2 linked regions of the Pelodiscus sinensis genome follow. The protein of the gene in region 2 interacts with the protein of the main gene of each other region in a pairwise test. Links are inferred from orthologs where the notes say so. Each region holds a gene or a part of one and is shown on either strand. Other genes may lie near its edges. The genes, in order: SKIL and NEFL.

Region 1 (16,104 bases), on a different chromosome or scaffold from region 2:
CTTTTTCGCAAAAGCAGAAGCCCGGAACCATTTTGAAGAGGGCAAAAGGCCACCAGACCTTTCTGGGGGTGGGGCCGGAGCTCCGTTCAGACACATGCTTAAAGGGGTCTCGCCGGACAGCCGTTTGTCTCGTGATCCCATGCGTTGGGACCTCTGGCAGGGACTGACACCCTTAGCAGGTTTGGTGGTTGCCCTCTGACTTTTGGGGACACCACCCTTTGGCCCCCAACTGCTTTTTCCTGTGTTTTCTTTCTTCTGCCCTGCTCTGTCTGCCATGGAGTCGTGGGTGGCCATGTGCCTGCTCGGGCCCCTGTTGGAGCTGTGCAAGTGCCTGCAGCTCGTGTTGCAGGCCGGTGCTCTTGTGTTCCAGAACCAGGAGGCAGAGATCGCGTTCAACTCACTCACCCAGGAGGCCCTGGTGGCCCTGTGGCATCAGCACCCCACCGTGGAGAGGCCAGTCTGGAGTTTGGACACCAGCACCGACTGGTGGGACCGGCTGGTCCTCGGACAATGGGACGACCAGCAATGGCTCCGGAATTTCCGCATGAGAAAGCAGACCTTCCTGCAGCTGTGCGCCTGGCTCACCCCCGCGCTACAGAGATCCACCACCCGGCTGAGGGCACCTATCCCCATTAACAAGAGGGTCGCCATCGCACTGTGGAAGCTGGCCACACCGGACAGCTACTGCTTGGTGGCACAGTAATTCGGGGTGGGAAGATCAACCGTCAGTGTGATCGTCGTGGAGGTAAGTCCCAGGGGTCGTGGGGTGGGGGGAGGGTGCAGCACTCCATGCCCAGGGGCAGCCAAGACTCCAGGGGTTTGGGCCGTCCCTCCCTTGCACAGGCCCGCTGGTGGGGGTGGGGGTGGGCCGTGGGGTGTGTGTGTGTGTGCGCACGTGCGTGAGGACAGAGGGAATCAAGGGGGGGGCTAAGGGAGCGCACACTCACCCCTGCCGTATGTCATGTGTTCCCTTGTGTTTCTCTGCACCCTTCTACAGGTTGTCCACGCCATCAACGACGTCCTGCTCCCAAGAGTCATCCGCCTGCGCGACATGGATGCTACCATGGCTGGCTTTGCTGCCCTTGGGTTCCCCAACTGTGGGGGAGCCCTGGACGCAACCCATATCCCCGTCCGGGCCCCAGAGCATCGAGCAGCCCATTTCATGAACCGGAAGGGCTACTGCTTCATTGTTCTGCAGGCTCTCGTGGTCCACCGGGGCCGCTTCCTGGACATCTACGGGGGCTGGTCTGGCTGGGCACACGACGCCCGCATCCTCCGCAACTCCGGACTCTTTCGCAGGTTGGAGGCGGGCACCTACTTCCCCCGGTGGGACTTGAATGTCGGGGATGTGCCTATGCCCATCTGCGTCATCGGGGATGCAGCCTACCCCCTGCTGCCCTGGCTAATGCGGCCCTACACGGGGCGGCTGGACCAGAACTGGGCACGGTTCAATGACCGCCTCAACCGGGCCCGAAATCCGGTGGAGCTCACCCTCGGACGTTTGAAAGCCCACTTCTGTTGTTTGCTCACCTGTCTCGAGATGGTTGAGCAGAATGCAACAGAGATACTGGCTGTGTGCTGCGTGCTCCACAACATTGTGGAGCGCTGTGGGGAGGCATTCCTCCCTGCATGGATGGCAGCCGAGGCACAGACGTTCGCACAGCCCCACACAGCTGCCGTCCACCAGGTGCGCCAGGATGGGGTGCGCATCAGAGAGGCCCTGGTGGACATGTTCGCCCAAGCCCCGTAGTAGGGTCACCTGGGTCTCCCCAGACGACTCCCTCCCATCCCATACTCTTCTCCACCCCCTCCCCTTATCTCCCCCCAATTGTAAAGCGTTGGTTCCAAGCACATCGGCCGTCATCGTGATTGTTCGTCGGGTGCGTCGGACGTAGTTAGGGTTTTTCTTTTTAGTTTAGGCTAGGGTTTAGGCCACCATTGCCTGTCCCGAAGAACAGGGAAGAGGATTCAGGGTTCGTGCGGAAGGCTCAAGTCAGCGTACCTGATTCCAGTCATCTTTGAGGGATCTCCTGGCTGTTCCTCTCCCAAGGCCCGGAAGGACCAAAGGATTGAGTTTGCCAGCAACACTACCAATCATCCTCCCTGCGCCTAGACTATGTTTACATAATCTTTAGTGTGCGTCTTTTAACCTTTCTTGCTTGTTTGTTATCTGTGTTAAATATAGTTTGTGGTTTAAATTTTACTGAAAAGTCTCAGTATTTATTTATGAACCACAAACCAATGGCCACTTAAAAAGGACCCCCGGTGACAGAATACAGAATTTGGTGTCCACAGTTTGTAACCCTTTTAAATTTAGGTGGCTAATTGGCATCTCAAAGCATTTCTTACAGTTACCTCGAGTAACACAATAACCACACAAGAATCAACTGAAAAATAGACTTTTTATTTACAAGGGGGAGGGGGAGGAGACCTTCAACTGGGACGGGGAGGGGGAGGAGCTACTGGGACGGGTGGCCCCTGCGAGCGTTCCTTCGGGGGCAGACCTGCACATGCGGGGCAGGCCGCACAGGGAGGTGGGCAGGAGCAGGGGCAGGAGCTGGGATAGGAGCAGGGGCCATTGCAGGGGCAGGAGGGGGCATGGGGTACAGCCATGCTATAATGTACGGCGTGCACAAAGTGTGTAGTGAGGATGGCCATGTAGTCGGCCATCCTTGTACACTGTGCCTGGAAGGCACCCCAGGCCGCCTGCCGCCACTGCAGGTCCCCCTGCACACGCTCGCGAATGGAGGCCTGGATTGCCTCCACCGCTACAATGTGGCGGCGAAGCAGCTGGTCCTGGTGTCGGAGCCAGCGCCTCCGGGGTTGGCCAGCTGGGGGTGCCTCTGCTGCTGGACTGGAGGGTCTTGTGTTCGGTCCCGCTGTAGGGAAGAGAAGAAAGGATGGGTCAGTCAGGCAGGCCCTCCACCCCCCCCACACCTCATGCCCTCCACCCCTGAGCCCAGGTGACCCCACAGTTGTGTGGCTTGGGCCCACTTGGTTCCCCTCCTGCCCCCTGTGTTGTATGTTTGCAAGGAGGACCGCCCCTGGAGTAGGGCCCTCCTCCAGTATTGTAACCACCGGTCTGTGTCCTGGCCCCGTGGAGGGCGGGAGGGTGCTTGTGTTGCGTTCACCTGTGGAACTCCCTGCTGGTGGAGACTGAAGCTTTGGGCTAATCACTGGTGTTTGACAGGGAGCGAGATGCATCCCCACACAGTGCCTGGGAGCACATCTGGCAGAGGTGGTCTGGGCTCTCAGATCCCATCGTGTGGGATATCTCCTGGGCGGAACCAGAAGAGTGACTGGGGAAAGGGGGTGTCCCATCCTTGCAGCAAAACTCAGGGCGGGCCTTCTCCCTCCCACTATCCCTCCCACAACCCCGGTAGCCCAGGGACATGTGTAGCCACAGTGGGGACTTCCCTCGGGGAGTCAGCCAAGGCACCGGGAGCAAGTGAGGGGCTCGGTGGGGGCCACGCTCACAGGACTGTGATGCTGCGGTGTACCCAAGAGCAGCTGGCTGTGCCTCACAGCCAGGCATGGGACAGTGTGCAGTTCTCTGTGCTGCACCCTTGGCGGAGGTGAGGGCTCTGGGCTGAGTCCCTGGGGCCTTGGCTGATTCCAGCTGGCATCCACCCTTTCCCCTGGTCTCGCCGAATGTGTGTGAGCAGCACAGTCCTAGGCGTGCCCTGCAGCTGCCTGCTGCGGCCACGTGCTGCTTGGTCACCAGGCTGCATGTGGTTGCACGTGCTGCTTGCTGCCTAATGCTACACAGCATGCAACTCACGTGGCCTGAGTGGCATGCTCTCCCCCTCCCCACTCCAGGTGCCTGGCTCTCGCCCCCCCCCCCCCCCCCCCCGCCCTCCGCCCTCCGCCCTTGTGAGTGCAAACTGCAAAGACTCACCAGTGGATCCTTCCCCGGAGGAGGAGCTGCTGGAGGGGGCCTGCTGGATGGCAACGCTGGCCTCCTCTCCTGAAGCGCCACCACTGTTCTCTCCTTCCCCTGCCTCAGTGTTTCGGATGACGGGGGGGGGGGCGCTGGCAGGTGTCCACGGGCACGTCCGGGCCTTGCAGGGCTGGCTGCCCAAGGATGGCATGCAGCCAGTCGTAATGGGGGCAGGTGTCTGGTCCTGCCCCCCTGCCCTTGCTGGCCCGCACGTACCCCAGCTGGAGCTCCTTAACTTTTGCCTGGATTCGCTCGCTGTTCCGGGCAGGGTATCCCTGTTGGGTCAGAGCCTCGGCCATCCGGACAAAGATGTCGACATTCCGGCGCCAGGACCGGATGTCATGGAGACCATCCTCCTCCTGCCAGAGGTCCAGGAGGATCTCCAGCTCCCTGGGGGTCCAGAGGGAGCCCGCCTTTTGCGGCCTCTGGGGGCCTCCTGAGCTGGGAGTGCAGGGGGCTCACCACCAGGAGCTGCCATGGCTGGCTTGTGAGGCTTGGCTGGGCAGGACAGGGGCGCTGTGGCAGAGCTCAGTGGCAGGCCTGAGGCCCGCTTCTGCCACGTGCGCTCAGCAGCCTGCGACTGCTTTAAGAGCTTGGGTTACCAGGAAGTCCAGGGCTCCTACGGGGTCTCCAGGCGTCCAAACCGCTTTTTTCCGTTTCTTCTGTTTTTTCGGAAAAGCGGTAGCTAGCTGTCTACACTGGCCCTTTTCCGGAACAGTTTTCCGGAAAAAGGACTTTTGCCCGAACGGGAGCGGCAAAGCTTTTCTGGAAAAGCGGCTGATTTCTTACAGTAGATCGTCATTGCTTTTCCAGAAAATCAAGCAGCCAGTGTAGACAGCTGGCAAGTTTTTCCAGAAAAGCGGCTGATTTTCCGGAAAAACTTGCCAGTGTAGACACAGTCCACCTGTGTCAAGGTGATCAATTCTGGCTCTTTTGGGTTGAAATTCACTTAAGACTTGGAGCTGGGAGAATGAAATGTTGTTATCCATATTGTATGATTAAAAGATTAAAGACCTGAACTTAATATGACCTGGCTTAGGGTCTACCATAACTTGAACACTAAGCAGAGGATAGTGAGTCACATCTAACTGAAAGTCACAAAAGATGGAAACAGGTTTTATTTCTGGTGGTGTAGAGTCTATTTGGGTTTGGACTTGATGACCTCCTGAGGTCTCTTCCAACCCTATGATTCTTTGATTCTATGACCTAGTTTTCACCGTTTGTGGGATTCTTTTATTGAGTTTCAGTTAACTGAATATCTTCTGGTTAAGCCAAGACAGTCTCTTTCTGTACTTCCTATCTTTCCTATAATTTGTTCGTGTGCCCCTAACAATATCTCTTTGAAAAACTACCAACTGACTTCAACTTTTTTCCCCTGTTAAACTTGCTTCCCAATGGATCTTACCTACCAATCCCTGATTTTGCTATAAGTCTGCTTTCTTGAAATCCATTTTCTTTATGGTGATGTTTTCCCTTTTATCATTCCTTATAATCATGAATGCTATCATTTCATGATTGCTTTCACCCAAGTTGCCTTCCACTTTAAAATTCTCTATAAATACTTCATTATTTGTGAAAATCAAATCTAGAACGTCTCCCTTTGTGGCTTTCTCCACTTTGTGTAATAATAATTGTCTCCAATACAGTCCAAGAATTTGGTTGGATAATCTATGCTCTCCTGTGTTATTTTCCCAATAGATGTCTACGTAGTTAAAGTCCACCATCACCACCAAGTCCTGTGCTTTGTATCATTTTGTTAGTTGTTTATAAAAATCCTCATCCACCTCCTCTTCCTCTTTTGGTTGTTTGTACAGGTTGAACCTCTGAAATCCTGTGCTTTCTGGTCTGGTAGGACATGGATATTGTTGGACCAAACAGCGCATCTGGGAGCAAAGGCAGCCAGGGTCAGGAGCAAAGCCCTGACCAGCGGCAGCAGGTTTGGTGGTCAGGAGCCCTTGCCAGGCGGGTCGCTGGGAGCACAGCCCAGGCTGGTGCAGTGGTGAGCTAGCAGCGGGGTTGGGACAGCTGGCAGTGGGGCTGTTGGAGTGAGGAATGCAGCCCCAGCTGGGGCTGGTGGCAGGGGGCTGGCAGGGTGGGAAGTGTGTTGTCTCTTCTCTCCTTTACCCCAGCTATAACACCCCCAGATTCCAACCCTTCACCCAGGTCTCCATCTTTGTCTCAAAATGGAGGAAAGGGGGTTTTGCATTGTACATGTTTGGGAAGGAGGGCAGTCTTTTTGGTGGAGGGCCCTGGAAGGGTATCAGAGAGGTCGCCATGAGCAGTGGAGAGGGAGATGGGCTTTGTTTAGGAGTTCAAGGGAAGTTTGCTGGGTGGGGAGCAGAGGTGAAAGTAAGGCGGTGTACCTCAGTGCTCTGCTCCAGAAAAAGCTGTCTGGGCTGCTGGACTGGAGGGTGCATGTCCAGCTGGGTTCCCCTGGCTCTCCTTTAGATTGCTATAGTAAGCAGCAGGAAACCAGAAAACCCTCCCTTTCTGCACCCTTTAGGGACAGGGCAGGGGCTTTGTTCTACTTCCCTCACTCTCAGGGTATGTCTATACAGCATGGCTAATGTCGACTTAAGCTATGTAACTTCAGCTACGTCAACTGTGTAGTTTAAGTCAAAATAGCTTAACTCAACTTTAGGCGCTGTCTCCATAGCAGGAAGTTGAAGGAATAACACTCTTTCTTCAACTTCCCTTACTCCTCCTAAAATGAGGGTTACAGGAGTTGGAGTAAGAAGTTCTCAGCTTGACATTATTGTGAAATAAAGGTTTGTAGTGCAGACGTGCTCTTTGTTATTTTGGAATGCTACCGTATAGACGATTCCCAGGAAGCAAGTATCCAGCTGCATTCCTGTCCCTCCTGGCTGGGGAGGAGAAGGAGGCAAAGGAGTGAGTGACACATGCTGTGTGCTTTCCCCTCCCTTAAAGGAACAGCAAGGAGCAGTGTGGATAGGAATGGGGTGGGCCTCACACCCCCTCACCTCCTGCCCTCTCTAAAGGATACTGTCATATTGCACCCCTGCCCTGATCTCCCCCCCCGGGGGGCAATAAAAGAGTACCTCTAAAAATGTAAGTTACTTTCACCCCTGGAGGGGGAGAGTCACTATGGTGAAGCAGGAATCAGCTTTGTGTGACACAATGGGGGCCTTTGTACAGACTGACTCTGGAGGCCAACACAAGGAGGAAGGGACACACTGGCCCCTGCGTGTGGATGCAGGGCTGGCTGAGAAGCGGGATAGCTTTGAGGTGGGTCTCAGAGCTTCTCTGTGGGAAGAGGGGGTCAGTGGGGCAGGGCTTGCTGTGGAAAAGGGGGCTCGTTGGGAGTTGTAAGGCAAGACGCAGCTGGTGTAATGTGGAGAGCCGCTGTGGGGGATGGTCTATGTGGAAGGCACCTGGCTGGGGCTCTCCTGGCGTTAGGGAGCATGGGGCAAAGATGGGGTCGCTATGGGATCGTGGGGGGGGGGGGGAAGCTGCATAGGGGTGGGGGCCCCTGGGGTCAATGACCGAAGGGGGGGCTGAAGGAGCAGGTCATGTGTAGACCCGCTTCCGTGCCTGGCTCTGTCCGGGCGGGGGGGGGGGGGGAGGCGCCGTGTGGGGAGGAAGGCGAGGTTCCGCCCCCGACGCGACACCAGCTTTCGCTGTGCCTGGGGGGAGGGGAAGCCGCTGGCAGCCGCCGCGGCGCTACCCCAGACAGTGGGCGGGGCTGGAGGCGGGGGCGCGCACCCGCCGGGTTGGTGCCCGCGCGCCGCCGTCTCCGCAGTGAGGTCACGGGTGGGCGGTGCGTGCGCGGCTTCTGTTCCACTGTTGGGGTGTCGGGGTCCCCACGATGCAGGGTGAGGAGCCGGGGCCTGCTGCCGGCGGGGCGGTGCAGCGGGGGGTACGGAGAGCGTGCGCGGCGGCGAGGGGGAGGGGAGGCTATTCATGAGAGGGGTAGGAGTGTCTGTGGGGGGAAGGGGACAAATCCAGGGAGGAGACGGGGGGGGGGGGGGCTGATTGTCTGCGGGGGCAGAGTGTCTGTGCGGGGGGAGGGGTTAGTCCAGAGGCGTCTGTGTGGGAGGGAGCAGTATTCCCCAGCTGGGGGACTGTCTGTGGGGGATGGAGCTTAGTGGAAGGGGGGGGCGTTGTGGGGGAGGGTGACCCCACAAGCGGGGGGGGGGTAATGTGGGGAGTCTCTGAAGGAAGGGAATTGTTTCCGGTCGGGAGGCGCGTGGGCTGTGTGTGTCCCCTGGGGTGATGTGAAGAGCTGGGTGGTAGGGTGTGTGGGGGAGGGGGAGCCTGGGGGGGGGGGGGGTAGGGAGCGTGTATGTGTGTGTGGATTGGTCCGAGGAGAAGTTGTGTTGCGGGTCGGTGCCAGGGAGCAGTGGGAACCGGGGGCTACGCGAGAATTGGCGGGGTGTGGGTGGGGGGGGGGGTGGAAGAGTCAGTGGTAGGTTTGAATGAGGGATCACTTCAGTATTTGGAGTGTCTGTGGAAGGAGGAAGGGTAAGTCCTGTATGTGGCGGAGTCCTGTCCGATCAGAGCGTGCGTAATGCTTGAGTGTGACTGAGGTGGAGGTGAGTCACGGGGGGGGGGGGCATAGTCTGGGTGGAGTGTGAGAGAGACAGGATGGTGGTGAATGTCGGGGTTATTCCAGGGAGGGCCGCTGTGTGAGGAAAGCACGGGAGAGGGAGGACCTTAGTTTCAGGGAGAATATAACGAGTGAGCTTTGGAAGAATACATGCGTATAGACTGAGGTTGGCTCAGAGATAGCAGTAGGGGTGTTGCCTAGTGTCTGGTTTGGGAAAGAGTCTAGGTTGTTTTCAGTTTTAATTACCTGTATGTTGAATTTATTTGAACTGCACTAACTGTAAAAAGTGTGAAGATTGAAGTTAGGAGAAATACTTTAATTTCAGTTATATATTCAAGGAAATGGGGGCTAGTTTGTCCCCTTATCCTTTTCTTGCCCTGCAATCTCTGAAAGTACAACCCCCCACACACTTTTTTTCCTGGATTCTGTCCCTGGAGTTTGCAAAGCATTGAATGGGGTGAAGGATTAGGTGATTTCCCCCATGTGTCTCCTTTGCCACATGTTTGCAGCACTCTCAATGAGTTATGTTGATGCTGCTGGTGCCAGGTTTATGCATGTGTCATAATAGGGTTTATGATATCTAAATCCAAGCTTTCTGCAAATTAGTTAAGAGTTAGTTATTTAGGGAGCATATTCCAGTTGTGATATATTGAATACATTTCAAGATTCAGGGACTGTTTTAGATAAAGGTATTACTCTTCACATGTGAATGATTACTGATTTTTTTCCTTTTTTTACAGGTTATATAAAAGGATTGCCAGAGATTTGTATTATTAGTCCAAACTATGAATCTCGTATATGGCCTGGATCTTATTTTCATTGCCAATAAGTTGAGATAGGAAAACTGACAGATGCTAGGGAAATTTTTACTGATGCTTATTCTACAGGGATGTTTGGTTTCTACCAGCAACCCTGGATCAGCCTTTAATTTGTGGACTTAACAGAGATTTACCATAATACATTTCTCCACCACTGGAGGTGTGATTTAAACTTGGCTGCACAATAAATAAAGTGACTAAGCTCTGTGTTCGATCCTGTGAGTTGAAAGGGATGTGCTGCATAAAGCATGCCCACAACTAAAATTATCTTTTGGAAGAATTGCATTAACGCCAGTGCTGCTCAGTCTGAGAACAAGTGATTTTGTATTTTAATACTTAAATGGAAGCATATATGAAGTGAAAAGTCAGCATGTTTTTTAAAAGAAAAATTTGATGAAAATCAGATTTTTTTTTTAATATAAGAACTGAACACATATATTTAAGTGCAAAAGAAAACTCTTGCTTAACCCTTCCACCCTTGAATTTTATGCTACATGAAAAATAGGTTACATTTTTAGCTCTTGAGGTGAGATTAAATCCTCACTTTAAGGAGATAGCACAATATCTGCTGGACAGGAGATAATTAAAGTACTTGGAAATTGGCGTGTCTTTAAGAAATACAAATTAAACACATACTAGAAAAATGCACATTTCAAACCTATTTATTTAAAATTCTGAGGTTCAGTGATGGAAAGTCCACAAACAAATTTCCCTGTAAGTGCAGGTTCTGACCAAAAAGAGTGTGGGATCCAAGAAGATGGCAGTCCACCAGTAAAAAAAATAATGACAGAAAAGCATGTAAATAGCAAAGTACAAGCTGTAGTAAATAAATTGCCAACGATAAAAAAGGAAAATGTGGATGAATATGAAGAAACTCCCATGGAGTCTGATGGAGAAAATGCCAAACCAAACAGTACTACAATATCTGAGCCTTTGAATTTAAATCCTGGTTTGAAACACACATTGGCACAGTTCCATTTAAGCAGCCAGAGTTCACTGGGTGGGCCAGCAGCTTTTTCAGCTCGTTATTCCCAGGAAAGCATGTCACCCACTGTCTTTGTGCCTCTTCCATCACCACAGATACTTCCTAGCCCATTGCTCATTCCTTCAGACAGTTCTACAGAGCTCACTCAGACTGTATTGGAGGGAGAATCTATTTCTTGTTTTAAAGTTGGAGGGGAAAAGAGACTCTGTCTGCCTCAAGTATTGAATTCAGTGCTCCGAGATTTTTCACTACAGCAAATTAATACAGTGTGTGATGAACTGTATATATACTGCTCGAGGTGCACTTCTGACCAGCTTCATATCCTAAAGGTTTTGGGAATCCTTCCATTTAATGCCCCATCCTGTGGGTTGATCACACTGACTGATGCTCAAAGACTATGCAATGCTTTACTGCGTCCTCGCACTTTTCCTCAAAATGGCACTCTGCTTCCTGCAAAAAACACATTGGTCCAACTGAAAGAGACTGGCAGAGCCTTTGAGGTAGAGCATGAGTGCTTGGGCAAGTGCCAGGGTTTGTTTGCACCTCAATTTTACATTCAGCCGGATGCTCCATGTATTCAGTGTTTGGAGTGCTATGGAATGTTTTCACCCCAGACATTTGTGATGCATTCACATAGATCTCCTGACAAGAGGACCTGCCACTGGGGCTTTGAATCAGCCAAATGGCATTGTTATCTTCATGTTAACCAAAAATATTTAGGCACTTCAGAAGAGAGAGAACTGAAGCATCTTTTGGAGGAAATGAAGGAGAAGTTTAGCATGAAAAATCAGAAAAGAACACAATCCAAAGTAAGTTTGACTATTGAAAAATTTCTGAATCAAAAATGAAATTTATTTTAAAAGTATTCAGTTTTATCAATGTGAACAGGTATTAAGCTAAGCATAAGCTGAGTCTACTATAAAGCTTCAACACATAATACAAAGCAATAATGAAAATTCCTTTCTTGTTTGGGGTTTTTATGGTGGTACAAAACTTGCAAAAAAAAATTTTAGACTAAAAAACTAGGTTCCTTTTTTCTTTAAACTGGCAAAAACCAGGGACTTTAGTATCCTTATGGAAATACTGTCCTCTCATTTGATCTGCCACTTTTGTGTGATATTATATGTAGTGTATGTTGCCATGTGTAAGCAAAGCAGGAAGGAGCCTAAGAATGGAGCTTCAGCTTTAATTCTGTATTGGTCAGTTAAAGCAAGTTTAACTATATCCATGGCGAATATCCAATTAGCTTGCCAAGCACCCAATAGCATGCCATAGTCTTTCAATTAAGGTAATGGTGCATTGATAAGATATTATTTAAAAATGGAAAGTTTTGGTAATGTTTGGGTTTTTTTATTGCATTGATTATATATAATATAGATATGCCATAAGAGGTTCTTTAAGCAAGCTAAGAATTCTTTGTTGACATCTTGCGATACTGTTGGGATGGCATATTTTTATTACAAAAAAGTAGTGCTCTAAGTCTATGGCTACATCTACACTGGCATGATTTTCCGGAAATGCTTTTAATGGAAAAGTTTTCCGTTAAAAGCATTTTCGGAAAAACGCGTCTAGATTGGAAGGATGCTTTTCCGCAAAAGCACTTTTTCCGGAAAAGCATCCGTGGCCCTGATCGTCATTTTCACAATTAGGGCTTTTTTGCGGAAAACACTACTGTGCTGTCTACACTGGCCCTTTTCCGGAACAGTTTTCTGGAAAAAGACTTTTGCCCGAACAGGAGCAGCATAGTTTTTCCAGAAAAGCACGGATGATTTTACATTAGATCGTCAGTGCTTTTCCGGAAATTCAAGCGGCCAGTGTAGACAGCTGGCAAGTTTTTCCAGAAAAGCGGCTGATTTTCCAGAATAACTTGCCAGTGTAGACACAGCGTATATGATGCTTCATAAAAATGGTAGTTTGTGCCATAAAGAGCTTATAATCTGAATAATAAGACACATATTAGCCAAATATTAAACAGCTGTAGGGAAGGAATTATTAGTGCTTGAAGAAGCGGGTTACAAGAGAGTTAGAGAAGTGAGGGCAAGTGATTGGTACCTGAACCAGAGTCAGTATGTTTGTGTGGAAGTATTAATTTCTCTGTAGGGAGAGTTTAATCTTTGAGGTTTGTGAATGCTTCCCTTTTCCTGTTGCTACCTTGTGTTCTTTGAAGCATTTACCAGTCCACTTGCAAGCTACAGACCTGATCACACACCCATTACAGTGGATGCAAGTTTTGCCATCAGTTTCAGTGGGAGCAGCAGCTAGCTATGAATATCACAGGTAGTTGTCACCCTTAGAATCAAGTCCTGGGAAGCATCAGTGCAGGGACCTAGGGGCTGTCCACTTTACAACAGTGGTGTGATAGTTATTATTTGGCCCAATAGAGATTTTTGACATTTTAGCAATCCTGAAGCATATATAATTAACCAACTTTACACTGGTGTTCTTAGTATAATTGGTGGTGTGCTTGCTCCTAGAACGATTAACTACAATATTGCTCTATCATTTCTGTGCTACACACTTGTATAGCAGCTCCAAAAGTACAAATATTATTTCTGTGCAATCCCTCTGTGCTTTCTACCCCTCCATGACCATTTTAAAGCCTAAAGCTCTGACTCTGTCAATCTGGTTAAATGCAGACCCCCAAAATAACAAGGATGATGTTCAGGTGGTCTCTGCTCTGTCCAGTCCATGAAACCCTCCAGCCCAGAGCAAGTCTAAGAGCAGTAGAGGCAATATTTAGTTTGTCTTGTTTTTTCCATGTTTGCATTTGCAGAAACTTGCCCCTCAATAGAGGACATGGAATAGATTGATAAATACAATTTTATAACTTTGCACTGGCCCACTTCAATTTTTTGCTGCTAAAGGGAAACAAAAGATAATGAAACAGTGCACCTGCAGAACAGGAAAACAACATAAACTCAAGTTAAAAAAAATTAGTGAAAAAAGAATTCAAAGTAATGAAATCAAACTCCTTCAGACCCAGAGCTGCCTCACCTTTCTTCTGAACATTTCACTCTCCAGATTCACTCCTCTCACAGTACAAGTAATCTTTGATCTCATTTATCTTTAAAAAAAAATTAAAAAAAACAAACCACCTTATCCTCAACTGTTTCACCAAAATTATTTCCCTTTTTGCCCTTCAACTCCAAGTTAACTGAGCTGTCTGTCTACAGCTGATGTATTGACTCTCATTCAGCTCAGTTCTTGATTCTTAACAATACAGCAGTGGTCTCCAACCTTTTAAAGCACAAGATCACTTTTTGAATTTCAGTACAGTACGAGATCTACCTCAAACCCAAATACTGTTGCCCCATCTCCTTTGTGCGCCTTCTCAGAGGCTCCAGCCCTGCTTAATCCATCCTCCCTCTCCTATCCTCCCTCACTTTCACCAGGCTGGGGAAGAGGGTCAGGGTCAGACTTTGGTTTTGGATTAAGTGATTTGGAGTGTGAGAGAGGCTCTGAGCTGAGCTTGGGGAAGGCAGTTGGAGTACCGGAGGGGGTTCTAGGTTTAATCTCTGGGAGAGTGTTTGGATGCAGGAGAACTCGGGATTAAAACAGGAGCTTGGGATGTAGGAGGGCGGTTCATGACTGGAGTAGGGTTTCAGGATGCGGGCTCCAGCTGGGCACTGCTTACCTCAGGTGGTTCCTGGGTGGTTGTGCAGTGGGGCTAAAGCAGACTAACCCCTGCCCTGGCTTTTCTCATTCCCAAAACCAGCCAGCAAACTCCTTCCATCCAAAATCCTGTTGTGCCCCCTCTGTGCTCTGGTGAGAGAGGATACAGAGTGAGAGGGGGACACCCTGACATCAGCACCCCTCTTTTGCCTCCCCTGCCATATTAAGAAATCAGGAGGCTCTTAAGACTCAATACAGTTTCCACATTCTTCATTCCATTGAAACTGCACTCATAAAGTCTCTAATGATCTCTGTAAAGGCATGTATACACTACAAATGCTACAGTAGTGCAGCTGCTGTACAGCAGGTATGATGCTATAGCATATATACTTGCTACACTGATGGAAAGGGTAAATAGCAGAGTCCTTCAAAATATATATATTGGGACCAAGCATAAATGATGTGGAAAAGGAAAGTGGCAAAATTTGCAGGTGATACAAAATTATTCAAGATCAGTAAGTCAGAAGCAGACTGAAGAATTACAAAGAAATCTCATTAAACTGGGTGGCAAAATGGTGGAAGAAATTCAGTGTTGATAAATGCAAAGTAATGCACATTGCAAAAAATAATCCTAGCTATACATACAAAATGTTGAGTTCTAAATTAGCTGTTACCACTCATTATGGATAGGTCCTTGAAAATGTCTGCCAAGTGTGCAGTGGTAGTCAAAAAAAACCAATAGAATTTTAGGAGAGGGATAGATACTAAGACAGAAACTGCCATAAAGCCACTACACCAACTCCTTATATTCTGAATGCTGTTTGGTCCCCCATCTCAAAAAAGAGTAGAAGTAGAAAAAATTCAGAGAAGAGTAATGAAAATGATTAGAGGTGTAGAATAGTTTTCATATGAGGGGGGAGTAAAAAGACTGGGACTTTCATCATAGAAAAGTGACTACTAAGGAGACATATCATAGCAGTCTATAAAATTATGAATAGTATGGAGAAAGTAACTAAGGAAGTGCTTTTTTACCCTTTCACATAAACCAAGAATGTGGGGTCACCCAATTAAATTAATACAATTTAAAACAAAGGAAATATTTCTTCACATATTGTAAAGTCAGTCTGTAGAACTCATTGTTATGTGATGTTGTCCAAAAGTATTTAATGGTTCAAAAAAGAATTAGATAAGTTAATGGAGAAAAGGTCCATCAGTGGCTATTAGCAAGATGGCCAAGAATGCAGCTCTGTGCTCCTGGTGTCCCTAAATCTCCATCTGCCAGAAGCATCAGGCACTGATGAATGTCAGAGATAGGCCACTGGGCTAGTCTGACTTTGTATGGCTGCTCTTCTGTTCATATGTAAATTAAACTTATTGGCAAAATTGAGTTGGTATCTCCCCCAAACCTTTATATCCTTTCTTTCCACCAAGGCCCATGTAGCCTAATTGTCATTACAGCCATGTCTCCGGACCCATGTGTTTAGGCAGAGTCTAATCTTGCAACTTATGTACCAGATAAAAGATTCAACCTTCCCTGTCTATCCAGGCTTCTTAAACTCTTGGCCAGATCACTGTAATCTCCTTATCTCTCGCCTTGACTGCTGCAGACATCTTCTCACCTATACCTGTTTTGATCTCCCTATAGTCCATTCAGAATGCTGCTACGGTCATTTTAGTAGCTTATTCCTCTCATCACCTCACCCCTCATAGAACACTAGAACTGGAAGGGAGCTCGAGAGGTTGAGTCCAGTCCCCTGCCCTCATGGCAGGACCCAGTACTGTCTAGACCAGTGGTGCACAACCCGTGGGGGTCGCGGCTGTCTTCCTGGGGGGTCGCAGCGCTGGGCCAGCCACCATTTTGTTTTCCTGACATATGCGGCGGGGGGGGGAGTGGCAGGGGAGCGGACTGGTGCTTTAAATTAAAGGGGGTCACAACAAAATGAGTGTGGGGGGGTTTTCCTCAACCAAAATTTTTCTGGCCTTGGGGGTTGCCAATTAAAAAAGGTTGAGCATTGCTGTTGTACACCATCCCTGATAGATGTCTAACCTGCTCTTAAATATCTCCAGAGATGGAGATTCCACAACCTCCCTGGGCAATTTATTGCAGTGTTTAACCACTCTGACAGTTAGGAAGTTTTACCTAATGTCTGGCCTAAACCTCCCTTGCTGAAGTTTAAGCCTC
Region 2 (16,235 bases):
AACAGAGAACTTGAAACCTAAATTGTCTCTGAATTAAATACATGGTGCGACATTTTTAGCTCAATAGATTTGAGGGTTGTTTTGTGACCTGATTGGGAAACCAACACGCAGTCTAAATCAATCTTTCTTCTTCTCCTCTTTTTTCTCTTCCTTTCCTGCTGCCTCTTCTTTCTTCTCCCCATCTTCAGCTTCCTCAGCAACCTCCTGGGATTCCTCTCCTTCTTCTGCTTCCTCCTCTTCTCCTCCTTCCTCCTCCTCACCCTCTTTGGCTTCCTCAGATTCCTCCTTGGCACCTTTAAAAATTGAGCAGCAATAAGCATTTCGCATCATGCATGTAGAGTTGCTGAGCTATGGTCACCTCTACTGATTTTAGTGTGAGCAAAAATTAACTTTGGTGCCATCATAAATGTATATGAATGTAGGATGTATTTATTTAGGCTAAGTCTTTCAAGAACTAAGGGAATTAGGCACCAAATCATATTGCATTTCAAAGGGTCTTGGGTACTTAGCTTCTCTAGGCTTCTTTGAAACCCCTGCATTAAACAATAACAACAACTGATTGGCAACTCTTTTTAAGCCCTAACCCAAAGCCCACTGAAGTCAAAAGGTATCCGTTCACTGACTTCAGTGAACTTTGGATGAACCCTTGAGTTCATTGTCTAGTGAATCACCATTAACTTACAGATGAACTTTTCTACTAAGTGGATCTTAGAAAACTATTTACATAAAAACAAATTTGCTTTCAGATGTGTGGCTGAAATCCTCCCTCAAGGATTAATCAGGATCATTAATATGCGCCTGTTGAATTCTTTTTCCTGCTGTTTAGCCAGTTAAGAGTTTACCATCTATAGCTTAGTATATTAGAGTATGCTGCCTGAGAATGGTTATAGCATCAAAAAGAGAATGAAGATTCTCAAGTTCAAGGACAGGATAAAAATATTGCAATAGGAACTAGGGAAGGATGCTCTAGAGAATAATTGGTTTGAAATGTTTCTTTAAAGATGTACACGTTTAGTAAAGCAATTAATGGACAAAAGTACTTTGGTGGAAGGAGGGCAGTGAAAATAACAGGCAAGAATCCCAGCTGGTGTCAATAGTAGTGATCTATGCCAGCTGCAGATCTGGTTCAAGATATTCTCTGGGAATTCATATTTAGTTCAAGATGTTCCTGTTGCTTTCAGGAATGTGTATAAATGTTAAATTAGGTATTTATTGGCTAGAGAATTTGCCAATAGCACTTTCTATTATCATGATCCCGATGCTCTTCCTTTGAAAGCCAACTGCAAAACTCCCATTGACTGCCAAGGAAGCTGTATTGGCCCCATCATGTGTTGAACAGTCAATATTTATCTGAGCTCAGCCTTTACATTATACCTAGGTTTTCCCACACATGCATCACAGGGTCAGCCCAGCAACCCTTTACTTCTGTGACTAGCCCCCATTTAAGCCAATGGGTCTATGCGCTTGACTTAGGCATGTTTCTATTAACAAAGATTTGCAGATTGAGGCCTCACATAAGTAGAGGTGAATTCAAAAGAAATCAAAAGTACCTTCTTCCTCAGCTTCTTCTCCTCCCTCCTCTTCCTCAGCCTCCTGCTTCTCCTCCTCCTCCTCGCCTTCTGAAGGGGGTGCTTCTTTGGCCACTTCAATTTTTGCTGCCTCGATCGTCTCCTCTACTTCTATCTGTTCTTCCTGGACGTGACTGGAGTAGTAAGCAGGGAAGGAACGGGCTGACATCAAGTAGGAGCTGCTCTGTAAACCGCTGTAGGCAGACCTGCCAAAGACTGGGGCACTTTGAGTGTAGCCGCTAGTTATGCTTCCAACACCGGTGAAGCTAAGCCGTGTCTCTTCCCCTTCCAATAGTTTTCTAGGAGGAAAAAGAAACAATTAATTATTGCTTGTCCTCCAGTCCTGCTTAAAAGCCCTAATCATGGGTGGGTCAAGTGGCTGTACAAACACAGAACACAAAGATGGTCCCTGTCTGAAAGAAATTACCATCTTCCACACTTTTAGTCTACAATAGTCAACTGTCCAGTGGCAATTATACACTGGTGAGCATCACTGGAGGTAAAGATCTTTTTGAGAGGGTACGAAGGAAAAACAGCATTAAAATAACATCACCACAACTAGAATGGAAGATAATTGTGTCCTGTTACTCTGCAGGGCTACATAGAGAAGGAACATCCACCAAATTGACCTTCTTTTGTTCCTAGGAGTCCACATTTAATAAATATACCAAGCAGTTTTATATTACAAAAAAATATTCTCCTGCCTCAACAGTCAGCTGCAAATAGTCAATAATCTTAGCTTTCTGTTTGCAGTTTCCATCAATGCTGAGGGTCAAACAAAATAATGATAGCGCAGTAAGCTTTTTCGCAAACATTAGCGTTAGCCTTTTAAAAGTAATTTTTAGTGGGATCTGTGCACCTAACTCACTTAGGCACTTTTGATAATCCCAACATTTGTATTTATTGTTTTAAATAGGCTTTGATAGTTCTAACAAGCTTTTTTGTATTCAACAAATCTAAGCATACTACTAAATTCAGACTTCGTATTGAAGCAAATGTTTTGCCTTCAAATCATCTTTGGTTGGCTTTTTTTTTTCCTGTGAGAGTGATAAGGGGGTAGTTAATGAAACACTGAAGAATAAAATAGAATTCTATAGGAAAGCTGCCACTACAGTGACAAGAGTGGAGAAAATGACCTAATAATTCTTCTCTCTCTGACACATTAGTCTATCAATAACTAACCTAGTCAGCAGCTATAATTCTCACAAAAGATTTGTCTAAAAGGTTTAAAGATTGAGAGAGAGATGAAAAATAAAACGGAATTTCTCCAGCTACAAGAGAAAATTTCTGATTCACTTAACACTTTTTCCATCATACCTGTATGCTGCAATTTCAATATCCAGAGCCATTTTCACATTGAGAAGGTCTTGATATTCTTTCAAATAACGGGCCATCTCACTCTTTGTGGTTCTCAGTTCATTTTCTAATTTATTAATTGTGTCCTGTTGGGAATGAGAATATTCAGCAACATAAAATTCTTAGTTCCCCTTGTGCACAGCAATGATGGCTTGGAAACAATGTTACTAACCTATTAATGTAAATTCTGCTGCATCAATGGGATGTGTTTAATAGACCCCACATCTACCCTCAAATATAAAGTTAATATTTACATTAAGTGCCACATTACCTTGTAGGGTTTTCCCATGTCTAACATCTATGACTCCATTTCATTTAATGGTTTTGACATCTGCAGTGGTTCTGATTTTCCCTTATTTCTCCCAAACAGCTGCCAGCATTTATTTTAGTCCCCACCATTTTTAGGAGAAATGCTAAACATCAACATCATAAAGCAAGTAATGTCGTGAAGCTACAATACTTCAATAAATATTATTTTACATTTTAGTCTAATGCCATTTTTCTTTAATTCATGGGACTTTATGCCAATAAACACAATGGGCTAGATCCTTAGATGGTATCTACTGGGTTCCCAGGGGTTGCTACATTGATTCACACCAGCTAAAGATATGGTCCATTAGATTTGGAGCCCATTCCCTGCATCTGCAGAAATGTTTATCTACACCAGTTCCATCCTTTCCCATCAAGGAAGCAATAGATGTTTTTCTACATCAGACTAGATAGTTCCTAATGAAGTGGTTGCTAAAGGAGAGAATGGCCTTCTTGAATCACATACTAAAGTAAAACTACCAGTTAACTTAAATCATAAATTGGAAGGATCCTCAGTAGGAATTTCATTCTGGCCCTCAGCACTGAAGCCAGGACTACATAATAATCAGAATATTCTGGATCCTGACAGGTGCTGATGAAGAATTTTGCTTGAGTAAGAGCCATAAGATTTTACATGCAGTAATAAGTGATTCAAGAGCTAAATTATTCCTGAAATTTTTGTATTTTTCTTAATCTTTTATTCTTTCATCCTTTTGTATTCTCTATCATACCTTCTTAATTAATTTCATTCATTTTTCATTAACGGATTAATTAAATCCTTTAAAATGTAATCACCTAACATGCATTAGAACTAATACAGCTCATTCATATTTTATTAATAGCAATATACAATTCATAAATAATACAATCCAATGAATATTAATCCTGTTAATATCACTGTAATCTGATATTCAGTCAAATGAATATGCCAGGCATTATAACTTTTTAATTGTAGTCATGTAATTAGTGCTGCATTAAGCACCATTGGAACAAATGCAGCTCACTGTGTTTTGTCATAAACATTGCGAAGTATTCATTATAACCAATAGCACCTTTTTAATTGCTAGCCTTTATTGCTGTGGTGACTATTTATTGGGTGTCTGAGTTCTTATCTGCTAGGCACTGGATTTTAACTTCACCCTTTACAACAATTCTTTTAATTAATATGCATCCTACTTAATGCAAATCTTTTGTCACTTTCTCCTATAGAGCTGAGGACCTCACGCTGAGGACCTCACACATTTTGCATTTATTTGCAAAGAAGCGCTGCTGATATTCTGGGGTTTCCTGCAAAGCAAGCAGGCACTTACCTGCCTAGAAGACTGCTGGGTCAGTCCCCTGAGCAGAGACTGATCCAAATCTCATGTGGGACACCATTCCAGCGCGTCCACTGACTTGACTGGGCTTTGGAGCAGGTTTAGGCTCTGGGGGGTTCTGCACCGTACCTGGACAGCTCCCTGGCTAGGCGGCTGCAATACCCCACTGTGCTGGACAGCTCCCAGGCTAGAGGTAGGACTGCAGTACGCATTACATAAGCAGATGCTGGACAGCTCCCTGGCTAGGCGGCGGTAAGAGTCGCCTCCCCTCCCCTCCCCCCAGTGCTGGACAGCTCCCTGTAGGGGTGCTGGGCACGATCCCTGGGGGTGCCCGCCTGGGTACTGGCTGGGCCATGGTAAGAATCCCGCCGTGAAGAACAGCTCCCTGGCTGGGCGTAGGTCAGACCCCCCTTCCCACCCAGTGCTGGACAGCTCCCTGGCTGGGCGTAGGTCAGACCCCCTCCCCGCCCAGTGCTGGACAGCTCCCTGGCTGGGCGTAGGTCAGACCCCCCCTCCCCGCCCAGTGCTGGACAGCTGCCTGGCTGGGCGTAGGTCAGACCCCCCTCCCCGCCCAGTGCTGGACAGCTCCCTGGCTGGGCGTAGGTCAGACCCCCCTCCCCGCCCAGTGCTGGACAGCTCCCTGGCTGGGCGTAGGTCAGACCCCCTCCCCGCCCAGTGCTGGACAGCTCCCTGGCTGGGCGGCGGTCAGACCCCCTCCCCGCCCACTGCTGGACAGCTCCCTGGCTGGGCGTAGGTCAGACCCCCTCCCCGCCCACTGCTGGACAGCTCCCTGGCTGGGCGTAGGTCAGACCCCCTCCCCGCCCAGTGCTGGACAGCTCCCTGGCTGGGCGTAGGTCAGACCCCCTCCCCGCCCAGTGCTGGACAGCTCCCTGGCTGGGCGTAGGTCAGACCCCCTCCCCGCCCAGTGCTGGACAGCTCCCTGGCTGGGCGTAGGTCAGACCCCCTCCCCGCCCAGTGCTGGACAGCTCCCTGGCCGGGTTCTGGGGACGATTCCAGGAGGTGCCCGCCTGGATATCCTGCTGGCTCTGCCGCTCGCCGTGACCTGGGTCAGACGGTTCCCCTTCACCCACCCCGCCTGCTGCCCACTCCCGGGGCGCTCACCTGCAGGGAGCCGATGTCGGCGTTCTGCTTTTCCTCCAGCTCCTGCAGCTGCCTCTCCAGCGCCTCGTTCATGCCGCGGGTGGCCTCGATCTCCAGCGTCTTGGCCTTGAGCAGGCGGCGGCTCTCGGAGATCTCGTCCTTGGCGGCGCGCACGGCGTCGGTGTTCTTGGCGGCGCTCTCGGTGAGCACGGTGAAGCGGCTGCGGAACCACTCCTCGGCGTTCTGCATGTTGCGCGCCGCCAGCTTCTCGTACTGCGCCCGGATGTCGCGCAGCGCGGCCGAGAGGTCGGGCTTGGCCGACACGTCCATCTCCACCGAGAGGTGCGCGTACTGGATCTGCGCCTGCAGCTCGGCCAGCTCCTCCTCGTGCACCTTCTTGAGGAAGGCCAGCTCGTCCAGCAGGCTGTCGATGCGCTTCTCCAGCTCGGCCCGCGCCAGCGCCGCCTCGTCGGCCCCCTTGCGCGCCTCCAGCAGCCGGCCCTCGGCATCCTCCCGGCTCAGGATCTCCTCCTCGTAGCGCGCCTGCAGCCCGCGCAGCGTCTCCTCCAGGCTCTCCCGCTCGCTCTGCAGCGCCTGCTTCTCGCTGCTGGCCTCCTCGGCCGCCAGGCGCAGCTCGCGGATCTCCTGCTCGTAGAGGGCGCGGAAGCGGGAGGGCTCCGCGTGCTTCTGCCGCAGCACCAGCAGCTCGGCCTCCAGCACCTTGTTCTGCTGCTCCAGCTCGTGCACCCGCTCGATGAAGCAGGCGAAGCGGTCGTTGAGGTCCTGCAGCTGCGCCTTCTCCTGGCTGCGGATGGACTTGAGGTCGTTGCTCATGGCCGCCACCTGGCCCAGGTCCATGCTCTCCAGCGAGGACAGCCCCAGCGAGCCCGAGGCGGACGAGGAGACATAGCTGCGCCGCACCGACACGGCGGAGAGGGGCGCGGAGAGGCTGGAGTAGCTGGAGCGCGCCAGGCCGTAGCCGCCGCCGCTGCTGGAGCTGCGCGCCGTGGTGGCCGTGTGCAGCCGGGGGCTCTCGGCGTAGCGCCGCTTGTAGGCGGGGAAGAAGGGGTCGTAGCCGAAGGAGCTCATGGCGCCGCGGGAGGAGAGGCCGCTGCTCTGCGCCCGCCCGCCGCCCGCCCGCCGCTTTTGTAGCCGCGCGAGGAGCCCGGCCCGCTGACGCAGCGGCGGGGAGAGGCCAAGAGCGGGCCGGGCGCTGCGCAAAGGGAAGGGCCGGGCGCCGCCTCCCTCCCCGCCCGGCTGCACCCAGCGCCGGCCCGCCGGCAGCGACTCCCTCCAGCCGCGTGCGCGCAGCCCCTGCCCGCAGAGCAGCGTAGCGCAGCAACGCCCCCCCCCAGCCCTCTCCCGCAGCGCAGCGCCCCCTCCCAAAGCAACCTCCACCGCCCGCAGCCTAGCGCCCCCCGCCCCCTCCCAGGGCAACTCCCCCCGCAGCCTAGCGCCCACCCCCGCCCGCAGCAGCTCCTGTCGCCCGCCCCAGCCCCCATGCACCCACCACGACTCCTATCGCCCAGCCCTTCAGCCGCTCTCAATGCCCCCAGCAACTCCTGTTGCCCTCCCCTCCATCCCCATGTCCCCTCCGCAACTCCCACCCCTTCCTTCACCGCAGCTCCCATTGCCCCCTATTCCCGCGCAGCAGCTGCTACTGCCCCTTCATCCCCACCCTCCCACATGGCCCCAGCACCCACCTCAGCTCCCTCTGCACCCCCTTCAGCTCCTATTGCCTGCCCCAGTCTCCACGCCCCACCCCTCCTTCAGCTCCATAGGCACAGCGGCTGCCATTCCCCCAACCCACCCTCTGCAGCTCATACTGCCCCCTCCTTCCCACCTTACCTTTCATGCCCATCCCCCACAGCAGCACCCATTTTCCCCCTTCATCCCACCCTCCCATAGCAGCCCCCATCACCTCTGTCAAGCCCATCCCCCTACAGCAGCTCCTGTGTCTCCTACCAGCCCACAGCTTGTCACACCCCCTCCCAAGCCTGGCCCCAACTACCCCTTGACCCCATCTCCATGAACTCCTTTCAAACTACCCCCACTCAGTCAACTCCCTTCTCCCCCATCCCAACAGCTCGTCCCCACCCTTCTCTCATCCCTTCAGTTCTTCCACCCAATCTCATTCCACCCTGACCCGCTCCCCCAGTTTACCTGTGTCACCCACCATCCCATCAGCTCCTGCTACACCAAGGCCTTTCACCCCAATCCGTCCCATCAGCTCCTTGAATCTGCCCAGTACCTACTTCCATGTCACCCCCTCATTTCCCTTTACCACTCATCAGTACCCCTCCCCCCAGCCCTTTGCTTTCCTCCCAGTCCATCAGAGCACTTTGCATATCCCCTCCCTCCCAGGTAGTCAGTCTCCTATGACCCTGCAGTAACACAAGGGTACCCTGGTAATATAATGAGAATACAGCTAGCACAAAGTGTCTATACACAAACACACACCCTGAGTATGGATTGGGCATCTGACTCCATTAGTCTCCTGCCCGACCCCATTTGGAGTACAATGACAATTAGGTACCTAACTCTTTTATTTGCCTTTGACAATCCTGGCATATGAATCTGATTCAGTATTCTGTAATTTAATTTGCGTTTTATCATAATCCATCTAACAGACATGCTGTTGAACTCTAGCTTTCTTTTCCTTTCCAGCATTTCTCTTCTGTAATATTTGTTACATCCTTTTTTACACCAACCAGTGATATGAATTCAGGGGGGGGGGAAAGTGGGTTAGCTTGTTGCCTATCACCATGTAATACACCAACACACACATATCTGTAAAGCTATCCATCTATCTGAATATTTCTGCTTTTGACCCATAAAGTTTGCATGGAGTGAGCCTGTTTGAGCCATAGATAGGTAAATGAATCTGGCAACTTGTAGCACCGGATTGAAAGGAATGTCATAGGGCTATTAAAGCCACTGGACAGCTGCTTTGGATTTCAAACTTTTCCCCAGGCTGTTCTGAAGGACTTACTGTTGGTTAGTGAAAACAAAATCACCTTTATGCCCTGATCACTTTGCAGGAAGGGTAAGACATGAAGAGATGGAAAGAATAAAAGCAGCAAACAGTCCAAGTTTCACAAATTGCTTGAACACAATCATAGTGTCTGGATCAGAATGACAAAAAAATTAGCTATTCAATAAAAGCTTTGTCTGAGTAAAAACCAAATAAAACTGCAGGATTTGGTCCACATTCATTAGCAGCAGACACTGAAACTGTTTAATTGCTTTACAAAGGAAGAGAAATAATGGGTATAACAGCTGTGAAATATCTCAACCAGTTGTAGTGGCATCTAGGCACACAGAAGACAGGCAAATACTGTTTTCTGAATGCCTTTATCTTCTAGAAAAGATGGATCAGGATTTCTTTCCCATTAGCTTGGGGGGGACTGGTTCGCAGAGGCTGTGTTTACATTTAAAATATTACAAAGTCTACACAGCAATTATACAATCCCACAATCCACACCCTTCAAATGCCCAAGAGCTGAACCGGGACAGCCACAGGTGTTTAACTGCAGTTCCTTTGTATGCAATATGCAATTATATGCAATATGCAATATGCAATTATAACTATTGAACTATGTTAATGATACAGAAACTACAGCCTGATAACTAGGTCCTTCATGGTAAACATGCTGCTCACCTGGTGTAAATCAGTGTCGTTCCTTTGATAACAACAGAATTATACTAATTTATACTAGCTGCAAATATTTTACATTTGCCTCTCTGTACCTGCAACATTTTACTTTTCACTGAGAAAATTATTGTGGTCACTCCACTGCAGCTTAAGGACTGTGAACTCTAGAGCTAACACATGCAGTGGACAGTCAATGTCAATGACAATAATTAATTCAGGATGCAGGGGTTTTGTTAAGTCCCCAATCTATGCCATGAAAATGGCTGCACCTCCCTGATTCCTGCATGAGTGGGTTGTGCAGCCTGCAAAGACATTTGGGGGGAAATGCAAATGGAACAAATGCTAAACTGCTGGCTGACTCAGATCTTCACTCTTGACCACATTCCTGTTTCCTCCAAGCCCTCTTCCTCCAAGTGAGGACCAGTGAGGGGGTGGGTCCACACACAAACACCCCACCGGTAGCGGAGTGGAAAAGTGGAAGGACCCAGACCCAACCTGCTTTGCTCTGCCAGCCCCTAGCTGCGTTACTCTGCTTCCTGCTGCTGGTAAATGCGGGGGGCAGTTCCAGCCCTTCCCTTCAATCCTTCCACCACTGAGGTTGTGAACCAGCCCAACCCCTGCTTGCAAGATCTGGCTCCCCACTAATGGTCGGAGCCTCTTTGGGCCCCATGGGGTCCCCCAAAACATTGGGGCAGCAGCTGTCCCATGGACAGGACGGCTCTGGTTGTGACAGCGTAGCCGTTCTTAATTTGTCTGGAAATGGGTGGCAGAGGAGGGATCACATGAGGATTACCTGTTGTGTTCCCTCCCTCTGGGGCATTGGCCACTGTGGGCAGGCAGGATACTGGGCTGGATGGACCTTTGGTCTGACCCAGTCTGACTGTTCTTATGTTCTTATTTTCTTGTGTGCTATGTGAAGAACTGGCCCTCTAGTTTTTATGACTGTTTTATTTACTATTTTAATAATATCAGAGTTTTAGATGTGAGGGAAATAGGATTTGTGATAACAACAATAACTGGTCCTTATATAGGAGAGCACATTTACCCGGTGTTGCTTGGGTCCTTAAGGAGGGGCTCAGGGAAAAGGGCTGTAGGGTTGTGTGTGTGTGACGGCGCGTTGGGGGTTCCCCGTCTCCTGCACCCCGAAATGGCACAAACAGACTGCACCAGCCAGTGGAATTGAGGGTGGTTTATTGCTCCTCCAGCACAGCGCAGCACAGATGTAATCTGGTTACAGGAACTGGGGCTAAGAGGCCTCAGTGCCCCCCCTTTGAGATAGGGGAGTCCCAGCCCCCTCCCCAGCTCCTTATACCCTGCCTTCCAGCGAGGAACTAAAAAACCCTCTTCCAGCCCTGCCCCCCAAGCCAGGGCAGCATTCCACCTTCCTTTGTTCCTCTCCATGGGGGGTGTCTGGCCACTGGTTCAACAAGTTTGGCATTACCTCTGCCTAGTGAGGCTTTCCCTGCTGGGTCTTGCTCCAGACAGCAGGGGTCACCACATCCCAGCAAGTACCCCCCACTACGTCACAGTGTGTAGGAGGGATTTCTCCTCCCTCCACCCTCACAACACCCACCCTGCGATTTGTACCAAGGCTGCTTGCTCTTCCCCTTCCTGTCAGGGAACAAGAGCAAAGTGCACAGATTGTCCGGCCCCTGCGCTCCCCAGCCAGAGTGGGGAATGCAGCAAGTGGAGAATGCAGGAAGCAGTGCACTTTCCTCTCACTCCCTGACAAAGGGGAACCGTCAGCAATGTCCCCATACCAATGGAAGGGGTCCCCCCCCCCAGCCTTCCCAGAAGAGTGCCTAGGGAGGGAAGCTCAGGGCTAAGATGGTCCAGATGGGGTGGGAAACACCCCCAGCCAACCCCTTTCACCTGCTTGGTGATTCTGTCTTTTTTCTGCATGGCTTTATGAGAAGCAATCCCATTCCAGGCACGTTCCATTTTCCTGGCAAACCAAATCCTTATGTTGCTTTAAGTGATGATACTGAGTTTGGTGATCCTAGCTCTCACCGTTGAGGAGGAGTTCTTGAACAAACAGACAAACAAACTGACAAACTCTCTCAAATATATGGTAGATTACAAGTCTGGGGATGTAACACTCTCCTCAGGAGTCCCCGGGTGGAGATGAAAAGTGTACAAAGCCCAACAACTGGTGTCAGGTGTTGTGTCGACCAGCTCTCAGACCCTACCGAGACCTCTGCATCCCAGCTGCAGCACTGGGCTTCTGCGTGGCTTAGTGGGGACACTGTTAGCCAGGACAAGAACAAAGCAAACAAAAGTCACTCTTTAAGGAGTCATCATCCCCTGGAAGCTCATAAATATTAGGGCAAAGATGGATAAATACCGGCCCACGGGCTGGATCCAGTCCACCAGGGTTAACTCCTGGCAGGCCCCACCATTATATTTACCTGCATGGCCACAGGTACTGGCAAGTGCAGCTCCCATTGGCCATAGATCACCATTCCTGGCCAATGGGAGCTGCAGGGAGCAGTGTTCCAGTCCATGCCACTTCCTGCCATTCTCATTGGCCAGGAACAGCAATCTTCAGCCAATGGGAGCTACAAGCTGCAATCACTGGTATCTATAGACATGCAGGTAAATATAGTGGCAGCCCACCCGGGGCTAACCCTGGTGAACCACGGCCATATTACCTGCCCACTCCGTATTAGGGTCATGCTGTTTTTTCTGCCTTTTTGTCCTACGGTTTTTTTCTCCCAGAGCAGAGTCTAGAATCATAGAATCCCAGTGCTGGAAGAGACCTCAGGAGGTTATCAAGTCCAGCCCCCTGCCCAAGTCAAGACAAATCCCTGAGCAAAATATGGCCTGTGGGCTGGATCTGGCCTGCCAAGCCACCGTATCTGGCCTGCAGATGCTGCGGGGAGCCCCAGGCAGACTCCCTGTTTGCCTCGCCCAACCTGCACGCTGCTCAGAAATGCAGCTGCGGGGCAGTTTCACTTTAAAAACTGAGCCAGGAGGGAATGGGGGGAAGCTTTAGGAGGTGCTCCCACCCACCAGCACAATCCCATTGGCCGGCTTCTGGCCAGAAACTGGCCAGTGGGAGCTGCCTGTTTCAATAACAGGCAGCCACGAAGCACAAGGGGCTGGTAGTTATTCACGAAGCACATGGCTGCCATCTGTGCAGGGTCAGGTCAGGCAGGGCAGCTAGGGAGGCTGATTCAGGAACAGGCTGCTGGTTGGTAAGTCTCCTGGCCAGACCCTGCCTCTGGCACCCTCTTTCCTCAACCTCCTACCCCCTACTCCTGCCCCCCTACTCCACATACCCAAATCCTCTGCCCCCTTCCTGTACCCATACTGCCTCCCAGATCCAGCACCCTAATCCCCTGACCCAGATCACAGTCCCCTCCTGCCCTAGCTCACAATCCAACCCCCTGCACCCCAGTCCAGTGCCCCAGGTCACAACTGCCTCTTTCACGCAAGCTCCCTCCCTTATCCCAAACTCCCTTCTGCACCCAACCTCCATCCCAGACCCCCACACCCCCTCCATTAATATCCTGGAGGAGTGCAGCCCTCAACCACTTTCCAAATGTTTGGAGTGTTCCCCTGTCAAAAATGACTGCCCACCCCGGTCTACACCCTGATGTTTTACTATAAATAACAAAGCAACCTAAAAGTGGCAGAGAAGTGAGGATTGGCTCTCCGCTAGCTTGCAAGGGCTCCTGCTGCCTCTCCTGAAAAGCTGTCTGCCTTGTCAGTGCTCACTTGAAAGAAACCTGAACAATAAGGATATGCTGAGTCAGCCAGCAGTTTAGCATTGATTCCATTTGACTCCGCTGCAGCAAAAACCTGAGGCTGCACCCCGGCTGTATGCATTCATCACGGGTCTCCCAGTTCCATGCAAATGAAACTCCCAGGGAAAGAATCCAAAGTCCTGGCTCTGAATTTTATGGAAATAACTCTCGGGCCAAAGGGATACCAGCTGCTCAGCCACTTCCTAGTTCTGCCTAGGCGAAAACAAGTGAGATTGCTTGGAAAGAAACATCTGCCATGAGTGGGCAGCAAACCCGCCTCTCAATAGAATCCAGTTATATATCCAGTGTCTGCTCGACCATCGGGATGCCTTTCCCCTCGCCATCATCACACTCGGATGCATTTTATGTTGCAGCCGGGAGATTCCCCTTCCGCAGGCCTCGTTTCCCATTCGTAGAAGTCACTGGGATTTAGGCACCGAACGGGTTCTCTGGCTTGTGATGGCCACTTTGGGCAGCACAGTTCTTGAGAGAGCCAGCGGAGAACACCCGCTGTGCCCGTGAGCCCTCTGGTGGTGAAAAGCATGGGCGGCGGGTATCATAGGCAGAGGGAGGCGTTGCCTTCCCCAGCTGCCTCACTTGGCCCTGCCTATGCTCCATCGGAGTCCCTCAGACTCCCTCCCCCAGCCTGCTCTTGAGTCTGGGGCAGGCAGGCTACACCGCCCCTCCTCCCAGTGCCAGAGCGTGTGGGGGGGGCTTTCTGCTTGGGAGTCCAGCAGACACGGCACGAGGTGGCTGGGACTGTCCCTCCTGGCTCTTATCTCCAGCACTCTGGGGCCAGGGGAGGCTGGGGCTACACTGCCCGCTGGAGCGCTGGGTCTGGGCAAGGCTGCAGCCATGCTGCCCATCGTCTCTCCGGAGTCCTGGGACCAGCAGAGGCTGCATCAGTACCGCTCGCTGGCCCTCTGGAGCTCTAGGGCCAGGACAGGCCGCGGCCAGGATATCCCAGTCTGGGGGCACGACCCTAGGGCAGGGAGCAGGACATAACAGCCCCATTGTGAGGCTGGGCAGAGGCCAGCAGTGGCCACAGTGGGCAGGGGCAAGGCTTTATGCAGAAGAGGCAAGGGTGGGGGTTTTGCCTCCCCCAACCCACGAGGTCAGCCACCGCCCATGGTGAAAAGCTCATGGTGAAAAGCTCATGGAAATGGCTCTGCTCCTTTCTGGGCCAGCCACTCTCCACTGGACGGAAGGCAGGGCTCCTTGGAGGTGTCAGGGCAGGGTGTTGAGCGGGGGACTGAGCCGGGGAAGGGTGTGGCAGAGCAGAGGCTGGTGCATCTGATCAGATCTGACACCAGCAACGTAAGCTCGGCTGACCCCCGAATCTGCCTTTCCCAGCCGCCTCCCTGCAGCTGCCCTTCTCCCCTCCGGACAAGCACCCCCCCATGGAGCAGACTCAAGCCCCACAGTTTTCATATGTAACGTCACCACGTGCTGTTGTGTCATTCCCACGGTGCCATACACGGTGTAACCTGAACCGGGGGGTGACGCCCTGTCTCGCTGCCCATCGCCCCCACGCGCACGATTGCAGGTCGATGCTCTGATGCATTTTACCTTGTGGCTAGAGGATTCCCCTCCCCCAGGCCTTGTGTCTCCTACGTAGAGGTATCGCTGGTTAAAAAGCCCCAGAAGACAACCTGGGGACACACTCTTCCCCTCCAGAGCACCAAGGGCAGCAGCTGTCCACGGCCACCTCCCACAATGTGCCACGGCCGGGCGCCAGACTGGAGAAGCCGTTCTAGGGGCTCAGATGTTTCTACCTTTAATTCTAATGCCGTTTGTTCCTTGGGACCGAGGGATGGATCTTGCCTTTTACAAAAAAACTCAACTTCCTAAATAAACCTTCAATAGGAAGCAATGAAGGATGGGGGGGAGGGGCGCATCTTGTACAGTACATAGCTATGCAGGACATAATTGCTCATAGGTATTTGTTCGGTTCCATGGAGTTCTTACTTGCTTTTGGCTGCACAGTGACCGAGCAGCTGTCATTATTTTATTATTGGAGTCTGTGACAGGGCGTTTGCCTTGCACTGGCCCTTTAAGGGCAAAACCCCAGCCCTGAGTGAGGGCTGAGAGTGAAGCCCCAGCTGAGGCAGTTCTGCTACTGAGGGCCCAGCTGGGGGGTGTATAAAGAAGGACTTGGTGGAGGAAGTAGAGAGAGAGCTGACTACTGTGCTGGCTGGGGGAGCAGGCTGCCTGGGAAGCTGGAGGTTCAGTGCTGGAGAAGGAAGGCAGAGCTCTGGCTAAGCAAGCCCCCAGGCTGCAGGGCCTGAAGCTATTGGGGTTGAGAGGGGCAGCCATGGTAAGCAGGGACAGTAGGTCCACCCCCCTTTGCCAGTGAGGAGTGGCTGTTCCCGACTACAGTTTGCCCCTGAGGCAGGGGCGAGATGAAGACTGGCAGTGGCTCACTGAGGCAAGGTAGGAGAGATACAAGGGGAGACACCAGCTACAGGGAGGCATCCAGCCACCCAAACAAGCTAATTCCCAGAGCAACCAGCAGGAGGCGCCGTGGTGGTAAGTCTGCCCCGTGTCAGGGCCACTTCCATCTTGCGCAAGACAATGGTGTTCATTTCTTGCTGCTGCATTTGTCCTGCCACCTGGTCCTGAGAGCAAGTGGAATGATCCCGCAGCTTCTTTCATCTAAGCTCCATCAATAAGGGCTTAAGGAGATGAGTCATTCGATCTGTTTTCATTTTGGGTCAGGATCCCCACCAGGTCGCACAAGCTGATGGTAAATCCCCCCTTGCAGGTACAGAGGGTTAGGTTTTAGTCCTTGAGAGCCATTAAATTGATGTCTCGGTCATGTCTGCTTCCAGCAATTAAACCTGAACACAAAGAACAACTGTTGTTTGGATGAGCGAGGTCCAATTATCTGGGCTTGCCAGGAGACAGGTAGTAGAGACCAGTGTTTCTCAACTTTTTTTTTATAAAGTACCCTTTTTTTTAAATGAAAAAAAAAATTATAAGCTCCCCCAGTATCTACAGTTTTCAGACACAACATTTTTTCTACCATTGCACCACATTTGTTTAAACAACTTAGTTGTAGCTGGGCAGACAATGAAGTTTTTGGGTGTAAAAAGTACAAAAACAATAAAGCACTGTAAAACTTAAAACAAAAATTCAGTTTTCTCCAAATTTCAGTTGGGTTGATGTGCGCCCCAGACTT

Evidence for each region.
Region 1: the proteins of NEFL (region 2) and SKIL interact in binary tests that used the Homo sapiens proteins (3 or more experiments, as listed by UniProt). The link is inferred for Pelodiscus sinensis from reciprocal best matches to the Homo sapiens genes NEFL and SKIL.

The regions. Positions count from the first base shown.
Region 1 is NC_134720.1:38,846,359-38,862,462, forward strand, and holds the start of SKIL (ski-like protein), read left to right. Parts: upstream 1-7,631; 5' UTR 7,632-7,773; intron 7,774-8,356; exon of another isoform or gene 8,357-8,422; intron 8,423-9,247; 5' UTR 9,248-10,012; coding exon 10,013-11,119; intron 11,120-16,104. UniProt on the Homo sapiens protein: May have regulatory role in cell division or differentiation in response to extracellular signals.
Region 2 is NC_134738.1:9,665,516-9,681,750, reverse strand, and holds the start of NEFL (neurofilament light polypeptide), read right to left. Parts: upstream 7,003-16,235; 5' UTR 6,740-7,002; coding exon 5,672-6,739; intron 3,011-5,671; coding exon 2,886-3,010; intron 1,868-2,885; coding exon 1,551-1,867; intron 294-1,550; coding exon 118-293; 3' UTR 1-117. UniProt on the Homo sapiens protein: Neurofilaments usually contain three intermediate filament proteins: NEFL, NEFM, and NEFH which are involved in the maintenance of neuronal caliber.